Cricetulus griseus: one gene and its partners. The protein of the gene in region 1 purifies or fractionates together with the protein of each later gene. This does not show direct contact. Links are inferred from orthologs where the notes say so. Each region holds a gene or a part of one and is shown in the gene's direction. Other genes may lie near its edges.

Region 1 (3,627 bases):
TCTCCCTTGGATCACCTCCTCCTGGAAGTCTTCCTTTCTTAACTCACCAGAGCCCAAGGGTCACAGATCCACCCAGATCCCCCATCCTCAGCTGTCCAGAGGACTTGTCTTGGTTCTCATTTCTTTTTAAATTTTATTTTATTTTATTTTATGTGTCTGGGTGTTTCGTGTGCATGTGTGTCTGTGCATCACACATGGTTCTTTGTGCCTGCCGAGGCCAGGAAAGTGTTGAGTTACTTAGGACTGTAGTTACAGATGGTAACTGAATTGAACCTGGGTCTTGTGGAAGAGCAGTCAGGGTTCTTAAACCCTGAACCATCTCTCTAGCACCTCCCTTTTTGTTGTTATTGTTGCTGCTACTTATTAAATAAGACTCTCTGCCTTCTATTACTTCAAATAATGATGTCTATCTAGTTTCTGAATGGTGAGATTTCCAGGGCAGGTATCACTCCATCTGTCTTTCAACCATTCATTACTTTTCATGCCTGTCTTCTTTCCCTTCCATCTCCCCCTTCTCCACGCATTGGGAGCACCTACCATGTGGCAGGTGTCAAGGTGCAACTAGTACAACAGGATTCCAATGAGCAAAGACTTGGTGCCTGCAAGGTGTCAAATGCTGTGTGAGGATGGGCACTGAGATTCCCCTCACACACCCTCGGAGTGTGGAGGGTCCCAGACAGCTACAGGAAGCCATTATAAATGAGTGCCTGGTGGTGAGGGTGAAGCTGGAAGAGATGAACAAACAAATGAGTGCCTCTCTGTAGCTCTTGTGTGCAGAGGGAAGATGGGACAGAGATGGGAACCTCTGGGCCAGCTGATGACCTTTGAGTCTTGTCACTCTTGGTTCTGACCTTTTCTCTGCCAATTGACTGAGCTGACTCCCCAAACTAGGGACCTCCACGGTCAGGTCAGCAGGGACTCAGCACTCTGTGTCTCCACAGGACCCCAACCTGATCACCCTTACAGAGAAACCGGAAGTCAGCACCACAGTGCTGCCTCCCACAGAAGCCAGTGCCACGCTACCATCGTCCCCCACCTCCAGGAAGCAGATCCTTGACTGGGCAGCCAAAAAGAGTGCTGTCACCTCGATGGCAACACTGGTTGACCCCAAAAGCATCGTCCTCCGGCTGGGCCAAGGTCAGCTTCCTTAGTTGCCTCTGGACTCAGGTTCAATTGCAGAAGAAACTGAGAAACTCCAGCCCACGGTGGCACATGCGTTGTCCAAAGTCACACATGGCTGGACGGTACCTTTTGAAGCTAGTGAGAAACGCCAAGTTTTCTTCTTGACCTTGAAAATCTCAGCACAAGGGGCTAGAGATGGGGCTCAGTTAGTAGAGTGGTGGTACGTTAGTAAGCCCTGGATCCCACCTCCAGTGATACAGACTGAATACGGTGGCTCAGATCTGGAATCCCAACACTCAGGAGGTGGAGACAGGAGAATAAGGAATCCAAGGTCATCCTCTGTGACATAGCCAGTTCAAGGCTAGCCTGGGCTACATGAGACCGTGTCTTTAAAGGAGAGGGCTCCGTGTGTAATGACTGCCACATAAGCATGAGCACCTAAATTGGGACCTGCCACCCCCATGTGTAAAGCTGTCATGGTGATATACACATCTAACCCCAAAACTGATATATACATGTAACCCCAAAACTGGGGAGGCAGAGACAGGAGGGTCCCTGGGGCTTGCTGGCCAGCCAATCTAGGCAAATCAGTGAGCTCCATTGAGAAAATATGGAGAACAATTAAGGGAAATACCTGATTGCTGATGTGCCAGGTGGGGGGTGAGGGGACTATACCCTTGACATGTGCCATGGACTCAGTCATATGTTAATCCTATGTTAAGGCCGGGCACTTAGCAGGTAAGTCTTCTGTAGTCCTCCCATCTGTGAGGTCCTGTCCTGAATGTCCCCACAACTGCCTCAGGCTGAGTGGGGTAGGGTTCTCTGATATGCTTGTCTCCACAGCCCCAAAGGCACCACCCTACTGCTTGGCAGAGGCCCATCAGGACATGGCCCCCATCCTTGAATGGCAACCTCAAGGCCCCACTCCAGTCCAAGGCTGCTCCTTGGAAGATGTGACTGGCCACAAGGAGGCATATATTCTGAGGATCCTGCCAGGTTCTGGAGCCAGGTAAGGGTGCTGGCCTCCTGGGCGGGGCCCTTCCCAGTCAATCAGATCTTATCCTCCTGGCATAGCAGTTACTTTTCTACTGCTAGGATACAACACCATGGCCAAGGTAGTGTGTACAGAGTTTATTTGGCCTTTGGTTCCAGAGGGTCAGAGTTCATGGTGGCAGAATGGATGTCTCCAGAAGCTGAGAGCTCTCACCCTGAACCACAAACAGACAGCACACACAAAGCCCACCCCAGGTGTCCTACATTCTCCAACAAGGCCCACCTACACCTTCCCAAACAGGATCATCAACTGGGAACCAAATATTCAAGTGCCCAAGATTTATATGTGACGTCTTATTCAAGCCAACACACCAGGTGTGTCCCCACACTCAAGCCTACACTCTATCTGCACTGACACTTCTTTACCTGCTGCAGGCACCGCACAGTGACCGTAAATGTGGAACTGAGTTGTGAATCTGGGGATCCCGATGCCATTCTCATCCTGCAGGGTCCTCCATATGTGTCCTGGTTCATCAATGCCAACCACAACATGCAGTTATGGGTGAGCCTTGCACCCCCACCTCAGCCTGAGACCTGTGATCATTCTACCTCAACTTGTTTTTTCGGTTTTTTGTTTGTTTGTTTTGATTTTTTGAGACAAGGTTTCTCTGTGTAGCCTTGTCTGCCTTGGAACTCTCTCTGTAGACCAGGCTGGCCTTGAACTCATAGAGATCCTGCCTCTGCCTCCCGAGTGCTGGGATTAAGGGCAAGCGCCACCATCACTGGCCCACCCTAACTTTCTGTCTCTAATACCTGTTTTCCTTCCGTTGTTAATTTAGAGGCCCTTTCCTCCAGGAAGCTTTTCATAATGGGCCAAGGAGTTCCTTAACCTAGGCTTCTGGGTGAAGGACAAAGGGAAAAAAGGGGATGAGGGGATGGGTGGCCAGGCAGGGGGGCAGAGGAATCACCACAGCTGACGGCCCCTGCTAACCTTTCCTGCCTTCAGACCACAGGTGAATACTCCATCAAGATCTTTCCAGAAAAGAGCATCAAAGGCTTTGTGCTTCCAGACACACCCCAAGGCCTGGTAGGGGAGGCCCGAAAACTCAACGCCAGCATTGTAGCATCCTTTGTAGAGCTGCCCCTGGCCAGTGATGTCTCACTGAGGGCCTCTAGCTGCGGTGAGCCCCAGCCCCATGACCCTGTCCTCTCTTCTCCCAGATTACTTGCCACACTGTTCTTTGAGCTTGTGCCAGTTTCTCAGCCTCACTGGCCTCATCAGCCACATAAGGACAATGATCTCAGCCCATAGTGAGCACTCAGTGACTGTCCACTCTACCCACCTCTGGCCCCACAGGTCGTGTGCCACAGACCTCACCTGCACCAGTTGTGACCACACCTCCCAAGGACAGGTGCAACTCTGGGCTACTCATGTCCCTGATCCAGCCGAAGTGTGGCAATGACATCATGACTCTGGAACTCAGTAAAAAACATGTGCAGGTAAGTGAATCC
Region 2 (4,285 bases), on another chromosome or scaffold:
TCCCCCAGCTATATCCCTTATTTGTAGGGTACTTGCATAGGTCTTTGGGGTGGGAGTGAGGTGGGGGCAGGCACTGGAGATTTCGGGTGTGCCAAGGCCCTCTAAGCCTCCCAGAGCCTATTGCATTTGAAGTTGACCAGTCTTTGCTGCCTCACTGCACTTGAGCCGGGCAAGCTGGGGGCTGATGATTCTGGAGCCCCAGAGAGCAGGCCCTGAGAGCCAGCCTGTTCAGGCTCTGGCAGGTGGAGGACTTGCTCAAGCATGCCCCAGCTGCAGCCAAGGAGGAGTCTCAGACCCCATCTCTAACCCCCACGGTTTCCCTTCATAGCAGGATCAAACTCTTGGAGAGTGACTCTAAAGCAATTTACCAATCGATACCAAAGGCCGGCTGATTCCTACTACCGAGCTTTATTTAATTACGAGTTCAAATCACACAGAAAATAAAATTTTCTCCTTAAAAGGTTCTGCGGAAAAATGCTGCCGGTGCCATGCGGCCGCCTCCGTGGCTGTGTTTGTGTCTGAAGAAAGGACTAGTCTGACAGGAAGAATTACAAATCTGGAGCTCATTTTGGCGTCCCAGAGGGAAGGTGGGTGGAGCGTCTCACAGTAAATTAGGAATTCAGAATGAAAGCGGAGCTGAGTTTATTTGGGTTTTTAGTGACACCTCGAAATTATTACACAGGCGTGTCGGAGACAGCTCAAAGTACCTTCGACTGCTCCCGCTTCGCCCCGGGGCGGGATGCTCGGCAGGGCAATCCCCCCTCCTTCGAAACCCGTGGGACTCTCGGCTTCCCTGCGGGGTCAGGAAGGGTGGGAGGGAAGGAGGGCGGCTGGGATCCCCGGTCTGGGTCTGTTATGCTGCTGAGAGGCAGAAGGCCAATCGGGGGTGTGTCTGAGCTCCACCTTGGGTATCCGAATCTGGGATCCGACTTTGGGACTGGAATTTGAGGAGGGGGCGACAAGGTCTGGGGCGGACGTAGAGAGCAGGAAGAAATCAGGTTATCTTTCGGGGAGGCTGGAAGTTGAGGTGTGAGTCTAGGGAAGGGAAGTTGAACTGCGGACGGTACTGAAGGACTGAGTGTCGAGAGTTGGGCTTTGCTGTGTAGGGTGGTGCAGGGGAAGTCAGGGTGGGGTTGGGGTAGAAGAAAAGAGCGAGCAACGGTCACAGTCTTTCCCTGAGCAACTCGCACAGGCACACTCTGCGCTTAGCCGGGACTTGCGGGCTCCGTCTCGCGCGCTGGCTGGACCCTGCCCCCACCCGCCGGTAGACCGCGAGTCGCCCCGCTGTGGCTGGAGTAGGGGCTCCCAGCTGTGCGGGGGCGTGGTCAGAGGCCCAGCAGTGCGGAGGCGTGGTCAGAGGCAGAAGCCGGCGGCCGCTTATTGGCCACCCAGAGGCCCCGCGGGCGGGGCTGTCGACTGGGTCCCTCTAGGGCGCTCTCGGGCGGCGGGGAGGCGGGGTCGGCGGGAGCCGGCCAGCCAATGGGCGCGCGTCCCTCGAGCAGTTACAAAGGGCCGGAGCGAGGCCGCGGCGGCGGCGGGGAGGTGGGGCGAGGCGAGGCGAGGCTTGCTGAGGAGAAGCTGCGGCCGGGGCCGGGCCGGGCCACAAACGGTGGCGGCGGGACCATGGAGGCGGCGGCTGCTGCTCCGCGTCGCCGGCTGCTTCTCATCTTGTTGGTGGCGGCGGCGGCGACGCTGCTACCGGGGACGAAGGGTGAGCGGCAGGCGGGCGGGCGGGCGGCTGCGGGGCGCGCGGGCCGGGCCCGGCCTCTGGCTGGCTTCTGCTCTTTCTCAAACATGGCGCGGGGCCGGGGGCGCAGGTGGCGGCGCCGGCCGGCCCGGGCTTTCCTGACCCGGCAGGGCCACGCGAGCCGAGGCGGGGAGGAGAGGCGGGCGGGGGCGGTGTCAGGCGCGGGTGGCCGAGCGCCGGGAGGCCGGCCCTCTTAGGCTCCCCGGGGGCAGCGACGGGCTAGCCTGCGGAGGTCGGGGGCTGCCCTTAGGGGCGCAAGGCTGGCCGGGACGGTGGCCCCGGTGGCCCTTCCCAAGTGCGCCGGGGCCTGGGGCTGCTGGGGCGTGGGCGGGCACCGGAGTGGAGGCGCTCGGGGGCTCGGAGCGTGGAGGGCTCCCCCGGGGGTCGTAAGGGGCGCCGGGGGCTGAGACCCCGGTTGGGCGGTTCTGTCGTGAGTGTCGGCACCCGCCAAGGGAGACTCTTCTTCCACCGGGGGCTTTGTGTGAGAAGCAGGCGCGAAGATGCGCGGAATGTTCTCCTTTCCTGCGTCTAGGAATAGTTCAGAGTCCAGTAATCAGAAGGCTCCGGGTTGTCTTGGTTGTAGAAACTTGAACGTTTGTTCACTCCAGGTTTGGGAACGTTTTAATGGGATTGATCCTGTAGAAATGGCCGAATGCTTCATTTTCTCGAAGGAATCGTTGTTTTGGATATATCGTTTCCTTAAGTGAAGGTAGTTTTAGATCAGACATCTGTAGCTGGGTTTGGGGGGGGGGAAGGTGTTGTGTCACCCCGTGGAGGGAAGAGTGAAAAACTTTACTCTTTGTTAGTAACCAAATTAAAACAGGAGAAAACAAAATACCGAGGCTCAGCATTAGCAACGAAAATGCAGTGAAAATGCATTTCTGTTGCTGAAATTGGATAACAAAATTTTTTAAAAAGCAAAAGCCGAAAAAAGTCCCTCAGGACTGTGGGTGCCGGCTATTATTAAACTTGATAGTCATTACTTATTAGGAGTCGATTTTAATGCATATACAAAAGGTACACCATAGTACAGTATCTGAGACCTGTAACTTAACTATCAGGGCTATCTGTATATTGACATGAAAACTAAGGTGCAAGAGATTTAACGTCTTACTAAGTGTAGAAGTTAGGATTTGTGTTTAGGTCTTTCAGAGTTCAAAATCGGGGCACCTGCTACACCAAAGTAGCATAGCCCAGGTAAAGAACAGTTGATATTTAATTCTTACAACTTAGGTGTCTTTCTTTATTTACTTGACCCATTCACATAGTATACAGTGGGTTTTAACATTGGCTTAGGAAGGAAGATAACTGTGGGCAAAGTGGGAGAATCGTTATAATTATGCATCAAATTTAAGTGGCCATTATTCTACACAGTTATTTGACTAAAGTAATTCATTCTTTTCTACCTAGGACAAAGCAGGACACATTCATATATTTAGCAGTATTGATTTGGATGCTGAGAAGGTTGGTCCATGCCCTGGAGGAGTTTATCTCCTACTTAGGCAATTGTGTAGTACAAAACTGGCCTAGATGCTTTTATTACTCAAAGCCTACACTAACACTTAATAAACTTTTCCCATTTGCTACCCTCATTTCTCAAGAAATTGTATGTAACCTTGAATATATAGATGTAGAAAGCAGGTATATAAGTCAAACATACTGATAATAGATCATAAATAAAATTATTTTAAAAATAATTCATTGGCACATACAGTTTACTACTGTTTATTAGAGATTAAAGCAAATTCTCATTGTAATGAAGTGGGTGAGTTTATTTTTACATAGAGAATTAAATCATCCAATGCCACCTCACATAATTGCATATGTTTAGAGCCATTTCAGAAATTGTTGTGTCTTAATCACCAGATGAAATTATTTTAACAGTTTTTAAAATGAAACTTAACAACTTAAACAGTTTTTCAAATCAAACATTCTAACTCAATACAATTAAGGATACACCCCTTTGATACACATGGGGAATGAAAGTCTTTTGTAGTTAATCAAGTTTCTGAAAAAGTAGAAAATTTTGTATGTACAATAAAAACATTAAAATTCGTAAAATAGGGGCTGGAGAGATGGCTCAGTGGTTAAGAGCACCTTCTGACTGCTCTTCCAGAGAACTTGGGTTCAATTCCCAACACCCACTTGGCAGCTAACAACTGTCTGTAACTCCTGTTCCAGAGTACCTGACACACTCATGCAGATATACATGCAGTCACAACACCAATGCACATAAGTACAAATATTTTTTAAAGCCTCATAAAATAATAGTCCAGACTCTGTTGGCATTGCATAGCATGACAACATGTGTGTTCAGAACTAAGGCTGCAGTGAAGTTGCATCATGCAACACAAACATGCACCTCCAGAAACATCTCAGAGTCATTGCTCATTTGATTTTGACTTACTTTTGGGTGTTGTGTATTCAGAAGCCCTTTATTGTTGCCAGAGTTGTTGTGACCCCCCCCCCACCTCTATATGCAGTTATGACTCCGTTTAAGAAGCAAGAAGCTATGGCCAACCTGGCATAGTGGTCCAC
Region 3 (4,127 bases), on another chromosome or scaffold:
CTGGAAAGCAGATACGGTAATCTCGTGGTATTCCTATTGGCTCCACGACAGTCTGTTCTGATGCTAAACTTCAGTTGTGCTGGGGTTCTGGAAATTCAGGAGACTCGCCATTCAAGAAGCTGCGGCAGTGTATGTGTGTGTGTGTGGGGGGGGTGTCAGCAGAAGAAGTGACATCAGTCTGAGCAGCTGGCCATTGTCTCCCCCAGCCTCTATTTCTGCCAGAGGCTCGGACTGAGGAACTAAGATAGGCACCATCTTCTTCTGTTTGTAAGATGGTCCTCTGTGTACCATGCTCATTAACACATGGGACTGAAGACCTGGAAAAGTAACGAGGGTCACAACTATCCTGGAGTCCCAGTTGGTGGATGTACTTCAGAGTCAGTGTGAATACTCACAAGGCTAAGAATAAAACTCAGGTCCTGCCAAGGAAGGCACACTCCCAGTGTGCCTTCACTCACACTCCCAGTCTGTACAGTGGGGTCAGGAGGAAGACTGTCGTCATCACCACACGGTGCTAGCCCTTCTGCCCCATTCCCCAGCTGCATGTCCCAGCCTCTGGAGGCTCCATCCCCTAAATTCTAAAGCCCATCTGGTGGTCGCCCACCCCCACCCCTGCATCCTTTGGTTTGACCTCTCCTCAAGGAGAGGGCAACTGCCATGCCCTGAGGGGCTCGGATCAGACTGACTCAGAACCGACCTATCTGGACCAATCCAGACCAATTTAGCCCTAGGATGAACATTGATGGACAGGACTGCAGAGGAGGGAAGGGGACAAGTACTAAGGGTGAAGGGGCTGGAGCTTGGAGGCAGAAAGATTTAAGACAACTGGGGAGTCCCAAAGGGCGGAGCCAACTTCTGACCAGACCCTCCCAGCCCAAACTCAGCTCTCACTGCACTGTTCCTTAGACACCCCGAGAACCTGGAGTGAGGAAGATGAGGACAGGTACCTTGGCTGATACCTTGTGCTCGTCCCTCTCAGCGGTGCCCACGCCGCTCCCTCCTGAGCCAGGAATCCAGATTTCTGACTCTGGGTGCGTGCTACCCTTATCCCCTCTCAGGGCCCCAGGGTCATGCCTCCCTTCCCAGGACCCACGAGACCCCCAAGGCCCGGGTTCGAGGCCAGTCCCTTGGGGGGGGGGCTGGGGCGGCCGCACTGGGGTCTGCAGCCCTCTGAAGCGCCAGGCCCTGCGACCGGGAGGCGTGCTGGGCAATAGGAAACGGACTATTAGGAGGGAGTGGTGGAGTCGGGCCAGGCAGGAAGAAGCTAGAATAAGAAACATTTTTGCTCCAGCCCCTTCCCAGTCCCGGGAGGCCGCCGCGCCAGCCGCGCGGATCGAGCTCTTCCCCGGTCCCAGGCCGGCTCTGAACGCGAGACCCCGGCCGCCTCCGGGGAGGATAGGCGGGGGTCCCGTTGCCCCATCCAAAGGTGAGTGGAGGTCGCGTTGGACCGAGCGGGGCGACCTGTCCCTAGTCTCAGTGGACTTTTCCTTCAGAGATCTCTGAGATCCTTGCGTTGAGGGGTCAGTTTTAGCTGGACAAGAGAGCCAGCAGCCCCCTGGTGTGGACACATACCTGCCTGTTATGCCACCTGAGAATGGAAGGGAGCTGGACGAATCCGGATGTGGAATGGATAACTTTTACTCTTGCTAGGTGTCCTGAGGCCTTTAGCTTCTCTTCTCCAGTCCCTATTCATTCACTTAACTCTCTCTTCTATGCGTATCTGTGAAAATAAAATAGGTCAAAGGATTCTTCCCCACTACGGAGCTCCCACATCCCTCCAGGGTGCTGGGTTAACCTGGGAGTGACTTTCCATGTTGTTAAAACTCCTCATAGAGCCCGAGTTTCCCAGACCAGCTCTTGCTTAAGGAACTTGTCATTACAAGGCCATATCCTAAATCTTACCTCTAGCCCTAGAAGGTCACAGAATTCTCCTGCCGTGAGTGTCCCAGGCTATCAGTCTGTCCTGGAGAAAGAGGACTGCTCAGTCTGTCCTGGAGAAAGAGAACTGCTCAGGCTGGCTGCATTCTTAGGCCTTGCTCAGGGGACACATTCCTCTGTTTATGACTAGCCTCAGAGTTAAGAGTCAGGGCCAGTCCTCCCTGACCCTTTACTACTCCATCTGTCCTCGGGGTCTGTCCTCTCCCACCCCTCACTTCTGTTTGTGCCCCTACCTGTCTTCTCAGTTATCTTCTATGTAGTGTGTGGTTTTTCTCACACAATCTATCAGATGGGAGATCATTGTGCCCTGCTTGTAGGAGAGAGGCCCACTCCAAGCTTTGGTCAATGACGCCGGGAGACATCATGGCTTGGTTATTCTTTTTGAGACAGAACTGGGTTCAGATTCTCGATTCTCCTGCCTCGGGAGGCCTCTGAGTGCTGGTGTGTGCCACCACACCTGGATATAGTTGAGCTTTTAGTAACACTAAGTGCATCTTTTGTGCCACTTAATACACTACCAAGTAACTCTTCTACATTTACCTAGGAAATGTCACCCTTCCTGCCCCAATCCCATAGCTGTTGGTAGTAGAGACGTGACTTGGTTAGAGCTGGTATGTTGACCCCTGTACTCCATAGGAGTCTCCCCTGTCTGCAGTTTCCCTGTGGGGGATTTCAGTCGCTTACAATCAACTGTGGTGTGGAAATAGTTCATGGAATCTTCCAGAAACAAGGGGACTTTAAAGATTTAAATCCATACCGTCTCCAGAGTGCAGTTAAAATCTCCTGTTACCTTGCCCAATCTCATCTTCTTCATCTCTGTATCCATGCTGTATATGTTACCTGCCTATTAGTCACCTAGTAGCTGTCAGGGCTGTCAGGCTGACTGTGTATCTCTGTGCTTATGCTCAAGTAACCTTTATTTCACTTAACAGTGGCCCAAAGTGCAAGTGCAGTGGTGCTGGCGGTCCAGATACACCAAGGAGAAGAAGGTAAAGGTGCTTCCTTTAAGTAGAGAGACAAAGTTCCTTGCTAAAACATACTGTTGTGGTTGTTGTATTTTCTTATTAATGTTAATGTCTTCTGTGCCTACTATGCAAGTTAAACTTTAGTATAGGTATGTTATAAGTAGAGAGGAACAGGACATGCAGTTTGGCTCTGTCGGTAGCTTCATATACTCAGTGTGCTTTGGGGATGCATTACCTCAGATGAGGGGACCATTGCACTGTGCCACTTTGCAGATGCCTAAGACCCTCAAACCTAAGCTTGTTCTGTGATATCCCACCACTACAGAGTTAATAGGAAATGCAGGTGAATGGCTGCATCTGTAAGGCCCAGTGAGTGTTGAGTGTGGAAGATAGTTCAGTTTATCACAGCACTGTTCTACCTTGGACAGTCAGTATGAAAAGCCCTGATGCTGTGGAAGCAGGAAAAAGATTGACAGCCACCATCCAGGCACACTCTTCTTGGGTCTCACCTGAGCCTCAAACACTGGTAATGGACAGATAGTTTCTGGGCAACTACAACACTGTGCAATGAGACCTGAGGAGGGCATCAGTCAATGACACCAGGGGGACATATTGCTAATGTCTGCTGAGACCTAGGATACCTTTGTCCTGGGGCTCACCTAAGTCCAGACAAATAGAGGAATAGCAATGGATGAGGAAGGATTTGCTGTTGACAACTTACATTTACCCAGTCATATTCAGCACTCCTGTAGGAGTGTTGTGAGTATCCGAAGAGACAAACCACTAAAGCTCAGTGCCTGGCACAGAGTGAGAACTCAGAACAGTTTGCCTGCTGTTGTTTCCCGGTGTTAAGTTAATGTTTAAAAGTCATCTAACATTTGTGATTTCTGGCCAACAGCAGCAATGCTTGTGTCCGCAGGAGAGCTTTCGTGCAATTTTGCTAAGAAGTAAAAGAGAACAATAAGACACAGATTACCGCCCCACCCCATGCTTAACCTGAGATGGGACTTGGTTAGTGCCATCACATTCCCAGGGCTGGACCAGGAGTGACTTCTACATTACTGCCATCCTTCACCTATGCTGCTGTTTAGAACTGAACATTTTCTCTCACACCCATGTTTACCCTCATGCCGCAGAGTCACCAAGTCCCTGGTCTTGTGTTACTCTTTCTTCCCACAGAGATGGGGAGGCACCTAAAGGAAGTAAGAATCCCTTCCCTCTGTG

The links.
Region 2: the proteins of Eng (region 1) and Tgfbr1 purify together in Homo sapiens (affinity purification with western blotting; 5 studies listed by BioGRID and IntAct, with this or other methods). This does not show direct contact. The link is inferred for Cricetulus griseus from reciprocal best matches to the Homo sapiens genes ENG and TGFBR1.
Region 3: the proteins of Eng (region 1) and Acvrl1 purify together in Homo sapiens (affinity purification with western blotting; 3 studies listed by BioGRID and IntAct, with this or other methods). This does not show direct contact. The link is inferred for Cricetulus griseus from reciprocal best matches to the Homo sapiens genes ENG and ACVRL1.

What each region holds. Positions count from the first base shown.
Region 1 is NC_048599.1:144,389,462-144,393,088, forward strand, and holds part of Eng (endoglin), read left to right. Parts: intron 1-941; coding exon 942-1,137; intron 1,138-1,965; coding exon 1,966-2,131; intron 2,132-2,550; coding exon 2,551-2,677; intron 2,678-3,121; coding exon 3,122-3,296; intron 3,297-3,472; coding exon 3,473-3,615; intron 3,616-3,627. UniProt on the Homo sapiens protein: Vascular endothelium glycoprotein that plays an important role in the regulation of angiogenesis. Required for normal structure and integrity of adult vasculature. Regulates the migration of vascular endothelial cells.
Region 2 is NC_048595.1:96,063,539-96,067,823, reverse strand, and holds the start of Tgfbr1 (TGF-beta receptor type-1), read left to right. Parts: upstream 1-1,468; 5' UTR 1,469-1,479; coding exon 1,480-1,711; intron 1,712-4,285. UniProt on the Homo sapiens protein: Transmembrane serine/threonine kinase forming with the TGF-beta type II serine/threonine kinase receptor, TGFBR2, the non-promiscuous receptor for the TGF-beta cytokines TGFB1, TGFB2 and TGFB3.
Region 3 is NC_048595.1:397,567,896-397,572,022, forward strand, and holds the start of Acvrl1 (serine/threonine-protein kinase receptor R3), read left to right. Parts: upstream 1-1,310; 5' UTR 1,311-1,426; intron 1,427-2,870; 5' UTR 2,871-2,927; intron 2,928-4,127. UniProt on the Homo sapiens protein: Type I receptor for TGF-beta family ligands BMP9/GDF2 and BMP10 and important regulator of normal blood vessel development. On ligand binding, forms a receptor complex consisting of two type II and two type I transmembrane serine/threonine kinases.